Linked DNA regions of Mytilus edulis. The protein of the gene in region 1 interacts with the protein of each later gene in a pairwise test. Links are inferred from orthologs where the notes say so. Each region holds a gene or a part of one and is shown on either strand. Other genes may lie near its edges. The genes, in order: kelch-like protein 8 and proteasome subunit alpha type-1-like.

Evidence for each region.
Region 2: the proteins of kelch-like protein 8 (region 1) and proteasome subunit alpha type-1-like interact in a two-hybrid assay, tested with the Caenorhabditis elegans proteins (2 studies listed by BioGRID). The link is inferred for Mytilus edulis from reciprocal best matches to the Caenorhabditis elegans genes kel-8 and pas-6.

The regions. Positions count from the first base shown.
Region 1 is NC_092351.1:25,128,726-25,140,202, forward strand, and holds the start of kelch-like protein 8, read left to right. Parts: upstream 1-5,525; 5' UTR 5,526-5,724; exon of another isoform or gene 5,725-5,734; intron 5,735-11,323; exon of another isoform or gene 11,324-11,348; 5' UTR 11,349-11,425; coding exon 11,426-11,477. Other genes in the region: toll-like receptor 13, read right to left, coding at 1-2,022. UniProt on the Caenorhabditis elegans protein: Substrate-specific adapter of a BCR (BTB-CUL3-RBX1) E3 ubiquitin ligase complex that regulates degradation of glutamate receptors in neurons. The BCR(kel-8) ubiquitin ligase complex mediates ubiquitination and subsequent degradation of rpy-1.
Region 2 is NC_092353.1:47,647,099-47,658,581, reverse strand, and holds the start of proteasome subunit alpha type-1-like, read left to right. Parts: upstream 1-6,609; 5' UTR 6,610-6,695; coding exon 6,696-6,698; intron 6,699-11,483. UniProt on the Caenorhabditis elegans protein: The proteasome is a multicatalytic proteinase complex which is characterized by its ability to cleave peptides with Arg, Phe, Tyr, Leu, and Glu adjacent to the leaving group at neutral or slightly basic pH.

The DNA.
Region 1 (11,477 bases):
ACCACTGGTCATGTGATACGCATCAATAGCCTTCAGCATAATTAGAACACATGCATCTTTTCCTTGTCGACGTCTTCTTTCTTGAACATAATCACATTCCCATTGGCACCAATCGCTTCTAGCAAAATCATTACTCATTATGATCACAACTTTCCACGATTTGTTCATATACTTGTCTATATTTTCTGTAATTGGGACTCCCGGTTCAAACTCACGGTGATGAACACATAACTTAATTTGTTCATGTTCCAATCGTTTGATGAACTCACTATGAACCCATTCCCTATCAGCATCACAGTACACCACAAACGCATGAAATTCAAAATCATCACTATTGTTTAGACGTAAATATCCCTGTTTTCGAAGACGATGCAATCTCATAATATAGCAGTAGTTCCTTATATAGGTATGACCCTTGTAAGCTAATAAAATTACAATTATCACCAAAAATGCAAATGAAGACAAAATAATTGCGATTACTATAAACGGATCAGATTGTTTGCAACTCTCTGGGGTTGGATTGTATTTAATAACTAATCGACCTCGCATTTCAGCAGGAAAATTACACGTGTACGCTTGTGGAAAATCTGAGGACAAGTCTACTTTTGTTGTTCGAATCCAGTTTCGGAACCACATGAGGTCACATGTACAAGTAAATGGATTCTTTGCCAGGTATAATTTTTCAAGTTGGTGCAAAATATTTTCAGGTAAAGATGATTTGTTCAGTGCATGTATCAAATTATTTTTTAAGTTAATATACTTTATGCTATGCATATTAGCAAAAGTCTCTGGCGCCCAAGAATTTATAAAATTTCCTTGAAGAATTATTTTCTCTAAGGATGTCAAATTTCTAAAAAAGTTAGGATGAAGTTTTCTCAAACCGACCGTTTGTAGAACCAAATTTTTCATCTCTTCCGAATGGGCAAACATCAGACCTAGTGTAGTTTTGTCAGACGGAAGATAGTTATTCGTTAAATCTAAACATTGTAATGACGGCGTATGTTTAAATATTTGTTCTGCATTGAACCTAGAATTATTGTTTTTTGTCTTGTCAAATCGGAAATTGTTGTATCCAAAATGTAAACTGATTAATGACGTGCTGTTGAAAGCGGTAGGTTCTATTGTTTTTAGCTGATAATTAAATTGAAAGAAAACTTTTTTTAATTGTGGTAGTTCTGAAAAAGTATTATTCCTTAAAACCGTTAATCGATTAGCATCAAGACTTATGGACTGCAATGATGGCATACAGCTGAAACATTTTGGATATAAATAAGGTATAGCATTGCCGTTCAAAATCAGACGTCGAAGCTTCGGAACTTTGCTTTTGTTCATTTTATCACAAAAACTTGGAATGTGTACAATATCATTCCTAGTAAGATCAATGTTTTCAACCGATAATTTCACATTATCATACAGGATTAAACCAATGATATTATTTTTTGACAGGTTAATTGTTTTTAAGTTTTTCAATTCAGTATACCAGTCGGGGAACGTGAATAACGACAGATGATTTTCTTCAAGTGATATGGATGTCACTTTCCGTAGGCTGATTGTCTTAAAAATGTTAAAGGGAATATCTTTCCAGTAGTTGCTATACAAATGAATTTGCTTGAGATGTGTTGTATTTACGAAAACCAATGCATCACTCAGACTAGTTACATTCAACTGTTTTTCATCTGAAATTGCCAGTGACTTTAGATAAATGAAATCCACAAATACGTCATTTTTAACATATTTTATAGAATTTCCGATCAATTTGAATTCTTGGATATTATTGTTGGTAACATTCGATACAAACCATCTAGAAAAATTGACATCACTGAAATTGTTATGGGTCAATTCAATTTTTTCAGCAAATCTTGGGACGTGTGGTATATAGTCAAGTCCTGTGCAGGTCGCACTTTGCTGTTTCTTGTTACACGTACAATGCGGCACGAAACATACGTTTTCTGTTGTGTTGATACGTGTATTCACTGTCTGCATAACCGATCCAAACAAACACATCAAATGAATTTGCCTCATGCTCACATGTTCTCAAAACTAAAACGGAAAAATCTGAAAGCAGACATGGTCATATATATATATATCTGTAGAAATTGAAATCTAAAAATATGTTACGATGTTTCAATAATGTCAAAAATAGCTAACTTTTACATCGAACTCGGAAAATCACTCTAAAACAATCGTGTAATTTATTAGATACATTGTGTACCAATTGCAATGCGCACAACAATAATTATTACGCATGTACATGGGCTTCTAAATAATTGGACAAAACTCGTTTAAAGTAAATACTAAATGGGAGTGCCATGAATAAATGGCCTATACATAAATGGTTGGTATTTGCGATTCAATAAAATTTTGTATGCACTAAGGACTAGTTGAATTGTATTTGAAAATTTAAGATGAAGCATTTTTGCACACTTACTTCCAGAGAAATAAAATCAATGTATATTCAAAATAATGCATATCTGATTAGAAAGCACGAAAACCTAGGAGAAATATGTTTTAATTGCACTTTGAATAAGCATTATTCGAAAAATGGTCTTTAAAAGCTTAAATCAAGTACCTGGTCACGAACAAAATAATCATTTTACATATTAAACAAATCTGCCATAATGATCAACTGATTTTGAAGACTGATCAAATGTTCGTAACGAGTACCAAAAGCCTGAATTATTACACCATTTCCCGAAAGAATGCCAAATTATTAGGGTAATTTGTTGATGAAGTTGACTTACTTTCTCATCCAAAATCGATTTATGCTAAATAGATAACCATCACAAATAATTTGATTGTTGGTTGCTAATTATAAACGTCCAATTGCGCGTTAAAATACCTGGTCAATGAATATTCATCATATCAAATACCGATCATAGTATGCTGTCTGATCTAAAATATCGTAGATATCACAGAGAACGGTTGAAAATATTTTAATAGTATCATAAAACGAATTTTATTACAAAAAATTATTTTAAAGGAAGCATTATATTTCTTTTCTATTACCAAGCTAACAATTGAAAATACGTACTGTTGGTTCTTGAACAACTTTCCTCTGTTTATCTTTCATATACTGATGTGAATATCGTTCTGAAGAATTCACAAACTTAATACACATTTGTAAATAAGGTAACAGGAAATACATTAATAAAACATGTAAAAAAACGCTCAAACTTTAGAGAAATACTTCCTCGTATTAAGTGAAAAAAAATTGTTCAAAAATAAAACACTTATTGTGTCTTTGTGGAAGATAGAAAAATGATCGATGTTTCCCATTTCCTTGTCATTAGCTCAACAGATCTCCTGTAACATGGTAAAATGAAAGTTTCAATATGCAAAGTTCAAAAAATATTACAATTATTCGTAACACACGGGTATTTTCACCACCAAGAATATACGGTATAATTTAGATTATTGCCAACTTTTTTTATTATTTGCTTTTCTATATTATATTCATCTACATCATTAATTTGGCCATTAAATTGTTACAGTTTTGATTCTAGAGACAATATTGAAATCTATTTTTCTCTTAGATAAAATTAAGACAAGCCTTCAGTAAATTTAAAATATAAAATTTGGGTCAGTGTAACAAAATTCGAGTTCTATAATTTATTAGATTGGATAATCATTTAGCTTCGTCCAAACATGTCTAGATAATACACGAAATTGCAACTTTTTATTTAGATTTTTATTCGGTGGTCGCTGCGACCGGCTTGACATTGTTGATGTAATCACAATAAACGCAAAAAAAAAGAAAGATATAGATGAACATGAACATTCTTAACATGCTTCCTTCAACTGTTTAGTTGTTTTCTTTCCTTTTTTTAATTAGATTTATTTGAGACTATGAAAATTTTCCATTCTGTAAAACTGATTTTTCAATAACAAATCTGTCTCCATTAGCTAGATAATAGGCTTGGACATGAAGACGAAAGTCCTGCAATGGGTTTCTTCAAACTTGATATCAATAAATATATATAAGAAATATCAGTTTTAATTCGACGTGTGTAAGCCCCCGCCGTATTCTACGGGGCTATAAGTGTTATCCTTGGCCGGCCGGTCGCCGCTCCATCTGTCTGTTCCTTGCACGAATTCGGTCCGTCCCATTTTCGTTTCCGCACTCTAACTTACTTATTAATCAATATGTTATGAAACTCGTACACAATCCTTAGAACCAAATACTTCAAAGAGATTTCGAATTTGGGCATCAAATAATATAGTATTATAGAGTTTAGATTTGGGCTATATGTCATTTGCTGTTCAAGTGTTATGCCCTTTTAACTTGGTAATTGCAATTTTTGGGGATTTCTCACTCTAACATAAGTTTGTCTCGTCGAAATTTTAAGAAACTTATATTCTTGTACTCGATGCTAAAATCCGCAACACGCAGACAGAGTATGAATTGTGGCAGTAAGTCCTGGGACTATTATAATAACTGTTAGTATAACAGTCCCAGATACTCAGTAGTTGGTATTATAGTCCCAAGTAAGTCATATATATATATATATAATTTACCGTTCTAGAGTTTTTGCTCCTTTCAAACTTGGGGAATTACAAAGCTTAAGCGGGTCATTCGTGTCCTCGGGCACATTCTGTGGTGTTTTTTTCATAAAAAGCATTTAATTCTAAGGAAACATCGAACCTCGGCCATTATTTAAGAGGGGCGAAAGAAACCAGAGGAACAGTCAAACTCATTTATCGAAAATGAACTGACATGGCCATCGATATATATAAATGAAAAAGACAAACAGACAAATAATATATAGTACGCAAGAAACAACAAGAAAACTAAAGACTCAAGCAAAAGATTTTCCAGCTAAAAAAATTAACCGACGATTTGATATTGCTAAGTATAAAAAAAACATCTCCAATTTTTTTTATGTTATGGGCAAACTTACTCGTTACCCTATGGTTATGGGTATTTTCAGTAATTCATTAAATCAGCCTGGGTTTAAATCGAAATATCTAAGGTTTCATAATAGGAAAATGTTTGAATTTTAGCTCGTAGTTAGAGCTGATGTTTGTAATTATATTGCTCATATACCGACTCTAAATAAATCTTTATGTCTTATGTCGCCTAATGTCTATACAATATAATTAAAATATAATTAAATAAAATATATACTTTATCATGTTTATACTATAGATATCTATATTTTAATTAGATTGATGTCTATAGATTTTATGTTAAAAGTTTAGAATAACGGTTACCACAAGTTAAAGGTCAGTGAAACTGCAATGCCATTATAAAACCAAGTGTGAAGAAAGAATGTGTGACAGATGTTTCTTTGTTGATCAGTGTTTGGGATGAAATCCATTTTTTTGGCAATTTTTTTTTTAATCAGCAAAAAAAGTTATGTTGTCTATATTAATTCAGAATGTCAATCTAATTTTAATTTATCCATAATTGGGGCAATATGTCAAACCTAATGCAATGGGATATTACCCTTTTCAATAGTGGGGCGAGTTGGTAATTTAGCTTGGAGCGATATTTTTCAAATGGGGCGAGTTGTCATTAATTCGTCACGAAATAAGGGGACGTTACTGCATTGGAAAATAATACACCTGCACATCGAACTATTTATATATATTTTTGTCAAAGGGAAATGAAGTTTTCTTTCCTTTTAAATGTCATCTTCTTGATGAAAGATTGCTGAAGCATCATAAAAAAATCTGGATAGTGTCACAGCGTGCACAGTTTCTTAAGCAATAAGTTTCATAAAGGCTAGTAGCAGTAAATTCAGTCTTAGACAGTGTGTATATTTCTGTATATCATGGACTAGTCCAAATAATTATGACGTTTGACAATTAGTTGTACTTATTATGGACCTATTGAGCCAAAGAAGATATTTTGGTCTACAACAATTTTCCCTTTTAGTGGCTGCCTACCATCTAGTCCTAATAAAAAAAAATTACAGTGATTTGGCATCTTTTAGGGTACCATCTTTTAGTATATATGTAACCGTAGAGCATGAATTTCATTACAAAATTGCTTGTCTCCACCAGAAATCGAACCCAGAACCTCTGTGTAACAAGGCAGGGCGTTAACAGACTTAGCTAAAGAAGTACTTCCGTAGCTCAATCACTTACGGCTTACTAGGTATCTACTAAATTTTCTAGGGGAAGCAATCCCGTCACATATATATAACAAATCATGCAAATGTATAATGCGTAAACTAGGTATATAAGAAGTTATAACATGACAAACAATGTGAATACAGTACTATATATTTCATGTATTTAAAAACATGAAATCCTGAGGTCCCGAATTTAAATAAATTGAAATCCAGACATCCCGAAATTGAAATAAAGAATTTCCAGATCTTGAAAGGGTCAATCCCAAAATTACAAGCTTAATAACACCCTATCCTGGAGTATCGATAAAGGTCCTATCCCCCCTCACAAGTTATAATCATGTTAATCATGATAATAACCATCTACCATTGTCTACAGGTATATTAAAATAAACTTACAAAATGTAATAGATAAAATTTATTTTGTAAACAAAAACATGGATGATGACTTGTGTCTTCACAAAGTATGGCATTATGTCTTTGAAGTATGGTTGATATGTCCTATGGACATCTTTTCTTGCATAGCTAACAGCTTCATAATTGCAAGTGACCAAATGACACAGAAATTATTAAATATATGTCACTGTATGGCCTTCAACATTGAGCAATGCCCATACTGCATACCAGTAGTCAGCTATAAAAGGCCCCAATATGCATGTTATCTATGTTCATAATATATCTTTAAATATGGGTATTTTCAACTTTAACACCCTGTAGTACACATATATTTAAGTGTACCCTAAGACAAAAGCTGAATGGTGAATCGGGTTCTGAAGGGTGTGAAATAATCATATAGATCTACAGGTTTGAATTTAGACAAACAAATTTAATATCCAAGATCTAAGATTGAACCTGACAATTTTTATATGTAAATTTGAGCATACAGTGAAAAGTGAATTTTGAAAGCAAACATTTTTATATTATTTGAAAAAGATTAAAATTAAGAAATTTGATATATTTTTCACAGGGTGAAGGGGCCTTAGAATTGTCATTTTTGGGATACAATTGCTTTCAAGCAATCTGTAGACTTATACCAATGGCTCAGAGCATTGCCCTCACATCAATCGTTTTATTCTAAACATTAAGGAACATCTCAGATTCTTATGATTGTCTTGCTTTAAACAAGGATTTGTAATAGGCGGGATAGGGTGAGGTCACTTCGGTCAATATGCAAATTAATTCTATGGAGCCGTGTATTCTTACTGCGATCGTAAAAGTTATTCATAACACCAGAACCATTTTCAACTTCTTATTTCAAGCATAATATTTGATAAATATAGATTGTAGATACTTACATATCGATGTCTATTTGTTTAGGTGATGCAAATGTCAGCCATTAATCAGAGCTAGTTTAGCATTTTCCAGATGCATCACGGGTAATCTCACAAAATCTCGCGCCGCAGAAGATATTATACTACAGTCTATGAAAAAGCCCACGAGATTCCAATCCTTCTTACTATACAAATCCTTGCTTTAAAAGGTAAAAACAAACAAAGGGATTGAACTTAAACAACTTTCCTATAATGTTCTTTTCATAATCTTCATGTTTGATAATTCCCTTGACTTATATATGCGTGTTTTTAACAACACAGAAAATCAGAATTAAGCAGTATTTATATTTAGTGTATTTATAAATTTAGAAACACGTCAGACAGTCAGGGGTACTACTTTTATTTTATTTACTTGAAGAAGTAAAAAAAAATATACACATATAAGTAAATAAATAATGTTTGAATAATCTCCCCTTAATTTTCTAAAAAATTTACTTGTTTAAGTAAATTTTTCTTACAATCCCATAAAAATCCTCAAGTTTTGAGATGTAAAATCATGCCTTTAATGATTTTTCCCAGGTTTGCTCAAATTTTTCACTGTTTCATCTCATTAATTCATCAAAGAAACTGATTGAGCAAAGATCTTGTATATTTGCCAAGGCAATTTTGCAAGGCAATTCAAAATTGCTCCTTTGGGGCTTCACAGTAAATGAGCAGTGTTATGAAGATATAACAGACACATGGGATTTTCATTGTCCATGAAATTACACTTAAACGATTAGTAAAGACATCTGTAAAGGTTACACAATTTAAAGTTCTATTAGAGCAAAGAAATCTTAAGAATTCAAGAAAAGAAGAAAGGATGATTTTTTTACTTATACAAGTAAAAAATTCTGAATGCCTAAGGGACATAACTAAGCCATTTTTTTTACCTATACGAGTAAATAAAATTCACTTGTATAAGTATCCTATAAATTTACTTATATGTGTATATTTTTTTTTACTTCTTCAAGTAAATAAAATACACTTGTACAAGTAGTATCCCTGACTGTCAGAGGGGAATTCCCAGTTTTGATAAAATGCAAGAGTTCTCTGAATTCCAATAAATCTATTTCTGTCATATACATGTATAAGAACTGAAGTGGAGTTTTTCTTATAATTTGTTACTGTTATGAAACTGGTATTTGAGATTGTAATTCCATAAAAAAAATAGAGAAACCATCTAGGTCGTTTAATAAACATTAATATACGTTCTTGCTCCAGGGTTTGTTTTGGAAATTATGCGCATGCGTATAGTTTTCTTGACTTCAAGGGGTTTTAGATTGAAAAGTTGCTCTGGATTCCCCACTCAATTAATTAATTTATAACTCATGGGATCTTTTCTATGTATGTCTGTTATTGAGGGTTATTGTTGTTGCATAATTTTAAATCATATGCATCATTTTAATTAAAATAAATGTAGTCCTTATCGTAGAACACCCCTTCAGGCGAAATGGAGTCTTCCATATTATCGTTTCGAGTTGTCTCCCTTCCGGAAGTAACTTCCATGAATTCTGAAACAACACCTTGAGTATTAGCTCGTTCTGTCAATAAACGTCGTATTATATTAAAAACGATAGCAATTTAAACCGATAAATGTGTACGGAAAGGAGTCATGATCACTGACTCAAAGGAAATTAAATATTTAAAGAGTTAGGAATGGGGTTCCTCCTAGAATTAACGTAGGACAATAGGTGATAAGATACGAAGTGAAATAACTTCTCTCACTCTGAGTCTCAGTGACTGCTGTGGAAAGAAACTTGGAATTGAAAGTACAAAAATAAAATATTATAGGCCTTATTACATTGTTCATACACTTTTATCCGGGATTGGCTATTTTGTAACTATTTTACATGTGCAGCTGAATTAGATTTGAAAATTAATTATCCAGCTACATGTATACATGTGTCAATGAAACAACGGCAATCGTATCCCTCAGAGCAATCTGCTCTTTGATTTGGTAGAACTATAGGTAGTCAAAGATAAGACATTTTAATCCAAGACAGAGAATCTGAAATTATTCAAATTTGTAGCTACATGTAAATGTTGCGAGCATTATTATTAAATAAAGTTTAGTTTAAAAACTGAAATACATGGTAGTCAAATATAAGAAGTTTGTAATCATTGCAAGATACCGATGGATACAGAGAAATTAGAATCAAATGATAAAAGTGGGGCTCAATTTTGCAAGTCTGATGTCATAGACATTAAATGATGTGGGTAATTAGTAAACTGATCTACAAAATGTAGTAATTTCATTCATTGAAGAAAGGCACTTACTTAATATAAAAAAGAAGATGTGGTATGACTGCCAATGATACAACTGTCCACAAGAGACCAAAATGACACAGACATTAACAACTATAGGTCACCGTACGTCCTTCAACAATGAGCAAAGCCCATACCGCATAGTCAATGATAGTCAGCTATGAACATGATGAAAGGCCCTGATAAGACAAAGTAAAACAATTCAAACAAGAAAACTAACAGCCTTATTTCATTGTATTTATATATTTAAAAAAATGAACGAAAAACAAACATGAAACACATAAACAACAGCTGACAACCACTGAATTACAGGCTCCTGAAACATTGTTAAATGAGTGATTTTCTATACCACTGATTCAAGTAAAATTACATGTATGTCCATAAAGGTTGGAAGTAAAGAGTTGTCTTCCTTTAATAATCACAAATTCAAGTAGTACAAATTAGTCACTCGACTAAATGATTTAATTTTATTATAGCTTAAAATATAGAATACTGATCATCCAGGGACTAATTATTTTGGTAAAGTTACCAGAACCAACATCTGTGTTGATTCATGTCGGGTAATGTCACAAATGACATAAAAATCACTTGTATTTAAAAGTATCATACCTCAATTTCCTTGAAAAAAATCACTTCTTCAAACAACATTATTATAATAACCCCACTACTTTAAACAACCCTGAATAGTGAAATTTTGATTGTGAACAATAGAATTTTATTACATAATCTATTAGATGAAACCTTGAATTTTACAGGAAAAATACTCCCACTACTGAGAAAAATCTGTTAAGAAAATATCAGTTCATTATATAATGCCATTTTTATAGCATTTTTTCAAATAAAATAAAATTTGCAGCTAAAAGATTGCATCAAAGGTATAAACCTTGCTGCTTAAAAGAAGCAAAAAGTTATTTTTTTTTCAATTTTACTTATGAAAAGATATTATCTAAACCTATATGTTTAAAATTTTGGTTAAACTACAAAATCGTAATTTGTGACAAAACTTTGAATTTGCTACATTTTTGTACTTTTAAAAATAATTGATTTAAAAATCACTTATTTAAATAAGTCCCCTGACTGACTTTGCTTAATTTACTAAAATGAATGCCAATGATCAGCATAAAACGATAAAATTGTAAGTGGCTTACACATTAAGTTACAGACATCATGAATAATCTGCAGAATTCAATTCTTCACTGAAAACAACCACCTAACTAAGGAAAAACTAAAGAAAACTTATATGAAATTCCTGGGGTAATGAGTAGCAATCATTCATGGTATACATGGTATGTATGGGTTAATAGCAATGCCAGAGACTATTGTTTTTTTAACGACAGCCATCAGCTAATCTTAATTCTGAGAAATATACATCTTTACAAACTACTAATTTGTACTTAGTGGGGAGTAACTGAAATTTAAAGCTATTATAGATCTGGGAGGATTCAGTGCTTTACATGTATTAATAAAAGATACATGTACTTGTTGAAAATCTTTTTTTGTTTAATTAAATGTTAATTTTAATCAGGGTTGTTATCATGGTTATCTCATCGACATATATCATGTATATATATATATGCAACACTTCTATTCACATGCTATTATATCAATTATAATCATGTATATATATATGATAATTGTTTTTACAACATGTGATAGATATTTACACAATAGTTGAAAATTTTCTTTTCTCTTTTAGCTTTAAAGATTGGAGCACTTTGCCTAAATATATAATGTTTACAAATCTCTATAAGACAATTGGTAGACAACCTCAATATGGCAGAGCAACCACCTTTACCCAAGAGAATTGACAGTCTTTCAGAGAAGT
Region 2 (11,483 bases), on another chromosome or scaffold:
CAGTTCAGTGTTCCTGTTGTTCCGTTGTTTTCCACTTATCATGTTTATCTTGTTTATGTATTTCCCTCGGTTTTAGTTTGTTACCCGGATTTGTTTTCGTTTAATCGATAAATAAAATTGAGAATGAAAATGGGGAATGTGTCAAAGAGACAACAACCCGACCACAGAACAGACTACAACAGAAGGTCATCAATATGTCTCCAATGCATCGAGAAATTCCCGCACCCGGACGTTCTACGGCTGGCCCCTCAACAAATATATATATACTAGTTTAGTGATAATGGACGTCATACTAAACTCCAAAGTCAATTATACACAAGAAACTAAAAGTAAAAATAATAGAAAACTAACAAAGGTGTCCTGATTTGGGACAGGCGCAAAAATGCGGTGAGGTTGAATATGTTTATGAGATCTATCATATGACTATATAACAGCGGCATACTTCGGTTGCCTTAATCAGATATACAGGCGATTAAATTTTATAACAATATCAAGAAATGGGTTGCAATTATCTTTTTTTTTTCTTGTTGTTCTAAAAAAAACGTTTCAAACTGCATTCGTCCAATCAACATTTACCGTTTTAAGGTATGACTCTTTTTGAGCATTTGAGAAGTTAACCATTGCCGACCGTGCAAGGGCTGTATAGACAGTCGAGGTCGTTAAATACTTCCATTTAATAAAGTTACTCATGACGAGAAAAAATACCTTTCATGCTGTTTCCGGAAACTCTTATTTGTAGTGCGGTCATCTGAGAAAATACATTAGTAAATGTCGCATTTTGGTCATTTCTAAAACTCTCCAGTTGGTTGTTGCTCTGTGCAATTTTGCCATCAAGATCAGACAACTTCTGTTTCAATTGTCCCGCCAAAACTTGTAACGTCTGCTCGTTTTCACGTCTCAGCTGATCGATTTGTTGTTGAAGAAATTTCTTTTCCGTTATAAAAGTTTCCAGGGAAATATATTGCTTATTTCCGTTTGGATCCAATGTATGGTCCGGTTCCAGTAGTAATCCATATACACTTAGTCTGAAAGTGAGACTCAGACAAAACACGACTGTATGAAATTCTGAAAACATTATTATGTATGTTGTCTTTGAAAATATTCATAATATGGGAATTGTGTGTTATCTTTTAAAATTTGAAATAGAAATCGGTCCGAACGTATGTTCCATTTTAACGATTTCCAATATATTTATCACTAGCATGACTAGTGTACAAACAAAATATTATTAAAAGGATTACAAAAAGATATATGGGATCTGATTATATATATCTAAATTTAACAGAAATCCTCCCAAGTTGTAATCGTCGATAACTTATTGATTTTGGATGAATCGAAGGATTTTAAGTATCAAGACTTGCATTATAGTTAAGACCAGTGTGGTATAATTAAATGTTGAAGTCGAATTTACAAAGTTTTCGCTATCAGCAGTACATGTATTATCGAACTTATAAAACTTTGAGTTTTGAGAATTTGAATATATGTACTTGAATAAATCATACTTCTGTTATTTTTGGGACCGATTTTTTTTTAAGTGGAGGATGCTTATTTTTTGGAATCCCGTTTTTGTGTGATTTTATTTTTGTCACCTCCCGCTTTTTTGGCCGCTATATCTCCATTCTCACTTTAATTATCTCCTATATACCCCATCCCCACTTTGTTCAAACACTATTTTCAACATCCCAAAAGATTGCCATCGCCCGCTTTATACGTTCGTTTCAAAATATTTGAACGAGTTAAATTAAATAGCAGTAGAATGTCTTTAGCACAATCGGAGTGCATTCTCAGATTGTAAAAAACTATGATGTAAATCCAACATATCGTATTCTGAATATTGGTTTTCGATTATAAATTAACATCAAGAATTTGCAAGAAACAATTGTTGTACGACTTGAAGCTAAATAAAATGTCATTTTCACAAAACATTGTATAATTTTTTCTGAAGTCATTTTTTTCTCCCCAAATGATTGCAAATTTGCTCCTTCAGTATTTCCATTGATCATCCTTGTTGGCACCAAGCCACCTCAAAATTACTGTCTTATTATTTCTTACTAGATAAAATTGGTTACCTCTGTCAAGACTTTGAAAATGTTTTGTTTCTCTGTTCTGTATTTCACCGGTGAAAAACTTTTCCGCAATTAACATTACGATCTGGGACTATTATACTAGTCCCAGTTACGATACAGTGTAGTTTTGTTAAACGGCCTTCTTGAATTTCATGAAATTTTTCCAGATCCTTTTTTAATGATTACGAGATAATTTTAAATATATTCATTTTTTATCATTTTACCGAGTTAATGTCCAGTAAGCATTTCGATCGATCGATCGATCCCAGTGGGGGGGGGGGGGGGGGGGGGTCTCATAATACATTGGGGGTTTAGATCCCGGATCCCGCTTACTGTTTTGTCAGATTCCTATATCCCGCTTACAGGAACCCCTTTTTTTATTGGACGATCAATGCATTTGAATGGGGACATGTAGTTGGAACCCCCCTTTGTCCTGGGTTAGGAGCCCCCTTTTTAAAATGGCTGGATCCGCCACTTGATCCTGTCTTTTGATTATTTTTTTTTAGACATAGGCTATATGTATGAATTTGTATACTGGTCAATGTTATTAGATTTATTTTCTTACGTTCAACACAACTGAACCACTTATTTTGACAGCTGCAATATCAATGGACTTATTATAAAAAATATTAATATTACGGTAGATTTTTTAATGAACAAATGTAAGCCAGGAAACACACATGACGATCAGTGACTCTTAATCAGGCCTTTTTATTCGAATCTAAGACTATTTAGTGGTCTAACTTCAAATGATGTAGCAAAAAATAAGATACGTTTTATGTTTTTGGCATTCCAAATTTAAATTTAAGGCATTTCAGTCTAACCTAGGACTAGTACACCGAATACATTAATCTCAGGTTCTTTCTTGTCATCTTATTTTATTACGTGATTTCTTAGCCATTTTCCTTTGATTATCTTGTTTAATACTCGGTGAAAATATTGGCTAAATTTTTTTGTGATTCTGTGATTACCGTTTGACACCCCAATTTCATTAATAATCTGTTATTATATACGTTTATAATTCTTACTGTTTATCTTTTAATAAATTGTGAGTTTTCGAAATAATGATATATTTTTATCAATATCCGTCAATGAGCCAAGGATTTGTATATTAATTTGTATACAAATCCTTTCAGGAATGTTACAGACCGGTCAGTCTAACTTCAATTGTTTGTAAAACTTTGGAAAAGGTTATACGGAAGGAAATGATTGATCATTTAATAACCAATAATTTGTTATCAGACTCACAGTTTGGTTTTCGCTCTGGAAGATCATGTATATTACAATTACTTGATGTCATGGAAGACTGGTCATTATATATGGATAATAATATATCCTGGGACACATTACATCTCGATTTTGCCAAAGCTTTCGATAAAGTGCCACATAAAAGATTACTAAAGAAACTGTATTCATACGGTATTCGTGGATCTATATTAGAATGGATAACTGAATTTTTAACTGGACGTCGACAACAAGTTGCGATGAAAGGGGAAAAATCTGAATGGCAAAATGTAATTAGTGGAGTGCCCCAAGGCAGTGTACTTGGACCTGTTCTTTTCATTATATTCATAAATGATTTACCAGATGTTGTGGAGTCTATAGTAAAAAATTTCGCAGACGATACTAAAATGTATGCACCTACTTCTAAATCTGATGTCTTACAGAATGATCTAGATGCCCTCTACGATTGGTCCAAGTTATGGGACATGAAATTTAATGTGAACAAATGTAAACAAATCCATTATAGAAGAAATAATCCTGAAAATGTTTATACCATGAACAATATTGATATCATTAAAGATGAACAAGAAAAGGATCTTGGAATTATTTTTCAAAATGATCTTAAATTTTCTCAACATATATCAAGTAAAATAAATAAAGCCAATAGTATACTTGGGCTAATTAACCGAACTTTTATCTTTAAAGATCAATATACATTTTTAAGACTATACGTTGCGTTGGTACGACCACACGTGGAATATGGAAATACAATATGGTATCCGCATTTAAAGAAAGATATTAATGCTGTAGAAAAAGTGCAGATGAGAGCAACTAAATTAATTCCTGATATACGACATTTAAGCGGGGTCAGACCTATAATCCGACAGTCCCATAATCCGACAGTCCGATAGTCCGACAGTCCTTTAATCCGACAGCCCGATAGTTCGACAGTCTTATCATCCGACAGCCCGATAGTCCGACGCACGGTCACTTGTCTCTGAAAAGTATGCCTATATAGACATGGAACGTTTGTAAATTGGTATATTTTTTCATACAGAAAATTAACAAATCAGTCAGTATGACGTCTTGTACAGGACCGCAATAATCCCATACGAATCGGAAATGAACGGAATCCGAGTCCGTTCACCTTAAAACATGATCACTCTCATTCAAATTCGCCCCCTTTCACTTTCACACCCTACACGTGCTTACAAAAAGTCCGTTTGCACCCTATACGTTTGCTTTTGTTTATTATGAAAACAATGATAAACATTATTATAGCAATACTATTACTGCCCAATTAATATACTAACCAAAACTCGATTTTTTTTTCATTATTTCATAATAAATTGACATTCTAAAAACATTTTTTTGTGTCGATGGTTTGGTTAGAGACTAGCAATGACTATTTATTTTTTTCATTGTTTCAAAATAAAGAGGCATTCTGGCAACGGTTTTTTGTTGAATAAATCTAAATCATGTTTTGTTAGTGTATTTGTATTGCTATAAAAAAAAATCATTGTTTCTAAATAAAGTGCCTTTCTTATTTCGTGCTGTCATTTTTAAAACTTCAGCACTGCAGTCATAGGTCTTAACCGCTATCTGCTTTGTCTGCGTACTGTCTTCATGTCATTGCCCATCTTCATTCCAATCTTTTTCACATAATTGGTGTCATGTGATGATTCTATGACTAGGGATGCTCAGGTCCTTATAATAATTTAAATTACATATAAGTGTTATCCTTTATCAGCAAAGAGTTCAGGTTTTGGCAATCAGTGAACCAAAAAAAAAATACTAGATAGTACAGCGGTTTATATTGCCATACAAGCTAGAGCAATGATAAGGTATTATAAACAGACGCAATTTAAGTTAAGATTTCATTCCAAATCATTAACTATGAAACCGTTCTGAAAGTGGTTTTGCATCTTGACTGAAATTTGAGATAATGACACTATTCCTATTTTATCAAAACTAATTGCTCTTTTTAGAAAACAAAAGAAAAGATAAAAAAAAATATTGATACTTCTATGTTGCTCTATCCGAAGAAGTCGTTTCATATCTTCGGGCCGAAACCCCGCAGATATAAAAGCATACATCTAATACTTGTGACATATCACATTCAACCAGATTATACGTTACATCTTGGAACAGTATATTTAACAATATATGTGCTCCTGGTTACATGCATGCACTTGCGCATTTACAAAATGTATGTAAACAGACATTCTCGTTATCAACATCGACATGATGATATAAAGAATCTTATATTAATTGTTCAAACAAGAAAGAGGGGGGGGGGGGCAATACCTTTTTGTGTTAACCTGTTATGGCCCTTTTCAAGGTGTTGTTAACTGTTATCTGAGATCAATTTAAGCTGTTAACTGTTTTCAACCCACTTTGTTAACTGTTATCAGCATTTCTGCATTTTTTGTAAACTGTTTTTGCCAAAATCGAGGTGTTGTTAGCATGTTAACGGACCCCCTATTGCTCTCCCTCAAAAAGGGATTTAATTTATATCCCATTTCGATGCATTCTACTTTTTACATTTTAAACACTGCTCGCGTTTCAGCAGTATGCTAATACGCTTTTAAAAAGACAATCATCCTTTGCAGCAGCACAGCTTGGTGTCGGACCATCGGATTGTCGGATTAACGGACTGTCGGACTATCGGACTGTCGGACTATCGGACTATCGTACTGTCGGACTACTGGACTGTCGGAATTTCGGGGTGTCGGATTATAGCTACGCTCCCCATTTAAGCTATGAAGACAGATTAAAAGTACTTAAACTACCTTCCCTAACTCACAGAAGGCGAAGAGGTGATATGATACAAGCTTTCAAAATATTAAAAGGATTCGAAGATATATCTTATGAAAGATTTTTTACTGTCATCAGTACAAATACCCGTGGGCATATTTGGAAATTAGCAAAACCTAGATGTAACACTTCTTTTCGATTAAGACATTTCTCACAACGAATTATTAAGGATTGGAATAACCTACCAGTTGAAGTTATTTCATCAAAAACTATGGAAGCCTTTAAAATTAGTATAGACCGTCATTGGGAGTCAGTCATGTATCAGTTAAGAAATTGATGAGGACACAAATAGTTTTCTATATATAACTTTTTAATTGTGTGAAATATTGCACCAAATCATGCAGAATTGATGATTGTATCAGTTTTGAAAGTGTACCAAAATAGGGTGGGCTAAAAAGGATAGGATCCTTCCATATGAGCCCCACAACGATCTTACAGGTATCTTACAGGTATGAACGAAAAAAAAATATCTCTAGAAATTATGGCGGGAATTTGAATTACCTCCCATGGAAATATGCTCTCCTAAGTTGAAGGAAGTTTATTTGACTAGAAAATTTCACACTGTCATACCGGTTGAAATCTTAAAAAATGGTAATTTTCGAAACTTTCTACGTTCAATCCTATTAATATTAAGTTATCACGTAAGGGAATACAAGCCCTGCACACGAATTAGTGCATCTGTTCAGATTAAGAAGCACGTAAAGCTATAACAATGGTACAATGATGTATGGTTTGATCTTTTTATTTGTCATGTGCATATTTTTTTTTATTTTCGTCGAATTATACTCAGTCATAGTAGAATAAGTTGTATTTTTCTTTTTTTTAAAAGTGAAAACAACCTTGTTATTCACGTTGTTTTTTTTTTTGATTTTTCTGTATCATAAATTCAGTTATTCATGATTTCAACTGCCTTTCTCTCACAGACTTGTTTTCTATCCATGGTGAGAATAATCTTCAATAATTGAAAGTTTGCCAGAAAATGAAGAAGAAGATCTTCTTTCACTTTTTCTTGATATATAGGGAAAGAAGTTCAGGGGTTTGTGACAAATCCGGGTCCGTTCGCGCCCATTCATGTTCGCACTCTTTCACTTTCGCACCCAATTTTTATTGGTTTTGGCAAGTGTATTCCTACAAGTATATTTGTTGTCATTCAATTTGTCCTAAATTAAAGTGAGACAACATGTTTTTTTTGTGTTGAATTAATCTTTATCTTGACTCTTGTTTTGGTTACGTGTATTGCTAACATTTATTTCATTGTTTCAAAATAAAGTAAGACTACAATGTATGACAACATATTTTTTTGTGTTGAATAAATTTTAATTATGTTTTGGTTAGTGCATTGCTATGATTTTTTGTTTCATTGTTTCAAAACAAAGGGGCCAAGCTGTTAAAATCTTTTGTGTTTTCATTTAAAATCTTCAATGTTTTTACTCATACAGTACATTCCGTGACATGGTCTGAAAAATGTGGCAGGTTTTAAAAAGGCTCAGCATCAGCGACTTAAATGTCGATGATTGATTACCTGTTGTCAATCAAATCATCAGCTGATAATAGGTGCAATAAAATCAGCCAAGCGTGCATGGTCGGCCGCACATGCTACTTAAAATTATGTAATTAGTTATGATAATGTAACAGGTAAAATCGATAATTACATAATAGACATTTAAAAGGCATGAACGGTTTTCAGATTGTTTCAGTTCTAATTATTTAATTTACCAATAAAAGAAATATGGTTTTTTTTTCCAGGTCTGTCTGAGGAAGAAACATTCTACACATTATTGTTCTCTTATTTATCTTCTCAGTTTTTTTTTTACGATTCGAATATAAATTAAAATATCTTTTCCTTTCCGTTCTTTTCTCATTACTTCTACATTTCGTCGCGAGTTATATGTTCTAGTAATTTCGTAGATTAGTTTTCTTTTAAAAAGACATGAGTTTCCTATCTTTATTCGTATTTGAAAACGTCATGTGAGGGAGGGTAAGAAGGGGTCCTGATCCCAAATGCCGGGCTTAAAAAAACAAAATCCCGAAATCCCGGACTTAAAATCACGAAATCCCGAGGTCCCCTAATTCGAAAAAGAATTTCCGGAACCCGAACGTGTTACAGCTTAAAAACACCCGATCCTGGAGTCCCGATAAAGGTCCTATCCCCCCTCTTATATATTCTCAAAACGTGAAATATTACTGTAACAAGAAATACCCGAATGAAACAGCTGCTGAAACGTCTATTATTGAAAACTAGTTTTTCGTTTGTAAGATACGATGGTTATTTTTATTGTAATAAAATGTTTGGATTGGAAGAGAATTTGATCGAACATTTAAATGCATTGCTGGTGAAAGCGGGGTCAAGGTTGACACGATAATATCACGTGTGTACATGTGTTTAAAACTTTAGGGGTTTCCTGTTCAATTTCATGGATAAAATCATCAATCGGAACTACTCGGCCGGCTTTCTGTTTGCACGAAGAAATAACTCTTCAATAATTATTGTACTGTATAGCGAGAGTAGTTACGATTGATAAAATTATAAAAGATATTATTAGCCTAGCATGTAACTATGTCCAGTGTGTATTCTTTGTAAAAAAAAACACAACGTCATATTCAACTGGCTTAAAATTCTATGATAAAAAAATTAAAAAAATCGAGATTTTTTTCTCAATAAAATAGTTTGCAGCAAAAAAAACTATTTACGAGATTTTTTCTAGGTAAAATAGAAGGCAGCAAATTTTCTCAATTATAATATAAAACTTACTGAATAACGTAAATATGTGTTTACAAAAAAATTCGATATTTTCTTTTGTTCTTGAAGAACAAGAATATGTAGGATAAAAAAATCTATACGTTTTAGAAATCAGTCACAAACAGTAGAGGGTCACTACTTGATAAGGCAATGGGTATAATTAGTAAAACTCTTTGAAGCCCCCCTTTGAGTGTACAACAAATTAAAGATATCTTTTTGAATGATTTGTGTAGCCTTGAAAAAGACTGTTATGAAAAAGTTTCTGCTGCATCTCTCGTAGTTCTTGACTTGGTTTTCTTAGTGTGGTAGGAGGTGTTCGATCTTCTTGGTGAAACTGGGGTCATCTAACTTGGTTTTGAAGTAACTTATCGATTTACTATAAGACCTTTCAGGAAATATTTTGCGAGGTACATCGGCTGTTGCACGTCCTTCTAGTGCTATTACTACTGGGACAACTTTATATAAATGGTCAATAAAGCGGTTGCAGTACTCAATAGTAAGATCTCTGGTCCAAAACTCTTGTAGAGCTGTCTGAAGGTCATCTTTAGTTTTAAGGTTTTTTTTAGCAAGTCTGCGTTTCAGCATATTCCATACCATTTCAATTGGGTTGATATCGGGAGATTCGGAGGGCCAGCAGTCCCACCCAGGGCTCACGCTACCAGGCGACTTGGGCGAAGAAGTCGCCTTCCCGACCATCACTTCACTTTACCCGACCCCCAAAAGCGAAAACAAGTCGCCCTGTTCTTGACGATAGTCGCTTTCAGTCGCTTCCGTCATCGGACATTTTCAATTTTTACCAAGTTGATGAAACATCAATTTTTTACTGATAATTAAAGAAATTCAGAAATAAACGATTCATTATCTTTAAAAAAGAGGTTGAAGCATTGTCTTCGCAGTGTATAGAAGGTTATTTGATAAAAATACAACTTTTTATCACTTCGGTGCTTGTTACTCGAAAACGTACATCAACCTAAATTTCGGCGGCAAAATAAGTTTGTTACTTCATTTAAACGTGATAAAAGTTGCCTCGGATCTCCTGTAGTTGGTGATCGCAATACTGGTATACCAGTATTGTCCACAATACTGGTATAAAAATTTTGTACCAGTATTGTATTCCAGTATTGTACCAGTATTGTGCTTTTTTTAAATAAACAATATAGGTAATTAATCTTTTGTTAAAGGTGTCCCATATATGCATAATGAAATTAACATATGACATGACAATTTTATTAGGAATGATTGTGTTTAACTGATGATGCCATAGATGGTACACTGTGATTGTCATCAAATAAAGTTTTAAATCTTCTGATGTTTTTTTCTTAACCTTTCTGTATCAGCATTTTAACAAACTCTGTACTTTCTTCTATGTTTTCTTTCAGCTCTCTCTTTCCAAGATTCATGTAGTATATTTTAGTGAATTTTATATTGACATTAATGCTGTTATAGCTTCTGTATCATCAGCACTGGTATTTCTTCTTCAGATGTGATTTCTGCAACCCCTCCCCCTTCCTATATTGGTATTTAGGTATTCAGTGTCTGTGGACTTTCTCTAACGCTTACTAGATTACAAGCTATTTCAGATAGCATTTGTATAGCTCTCTAACTGTCAGAATGCTGGTCTAGTATTTGTACCAGTAGATATACATGTATCTGCTACTAATTGTATTGTCCATGGTTCTGAATCAACTGCTTCAACCCTTAACATTTATGTAGACAAACTAGTTAATTTGATTATAACAAGGTTCCCCTATAAAGCAACTTTTTATAATTAATGAATTATATTGATATCTTTTGTTGTGAAAGATTAATAAGAAAATAAAGACAAACAAATGCATATGATCTTAGTACTTAAAAAATGTATACATGTATTAAAATATCTGTCAAAATATGATGGCATACAAGTAAATGCTGAATTTACAGTGTTAGAGTCTAATAATTTGCTTGAATTTATTAAATTATTGCTCAGATAATAATAAGCTTTTATTTTATTTTATCTGTATTAAATTAAATAAAATATAGAAATATGATAAAATTATTAGCAATTGTTTAAATAATAATGATGATATGAGTTAATTTCAATAATCCTTTGTTTATTTGTGCAAGTATAGTAATGACTTTTAACTGGTTGTTAATTGATTTCACAATTATCCTCTATAATCTTTTTGAGTTCCATTTAATCTCCCTTTGATCTTCAATATAGTCTAGTCAACAATATAATACAACTACAATACTGGTATGTCAGTAATGTACCAGTATTGCTGTTTTTTTTATAAAAAAGTAACAATACTGGTACAAAATTTTTATACCAGTATTGTGGACAATACTGGTATACCAGTATTGCGATCACCAACTACAGGAGATTCGTTGCCTCCAGTAAATGTTTTATCCATTTATTGCATTAAAACCGTCATGTTCCTTTCCAAATAACTTGTCAAACATCGTTTATTTTTGTAAATTTTCTTGCATTCGTCCGCCATTGACCATTTCTAAACTACGGATCTGAACCGGACCAGCTATGACCGAAATCCGTACTTTTACAATAATTACTACGGACGCATGGATGTTCATGTAATATATATTCATAACCATCTTCCTATTAATTTGATTAATATCTATTGAAAAGATTTTTTTTTAAG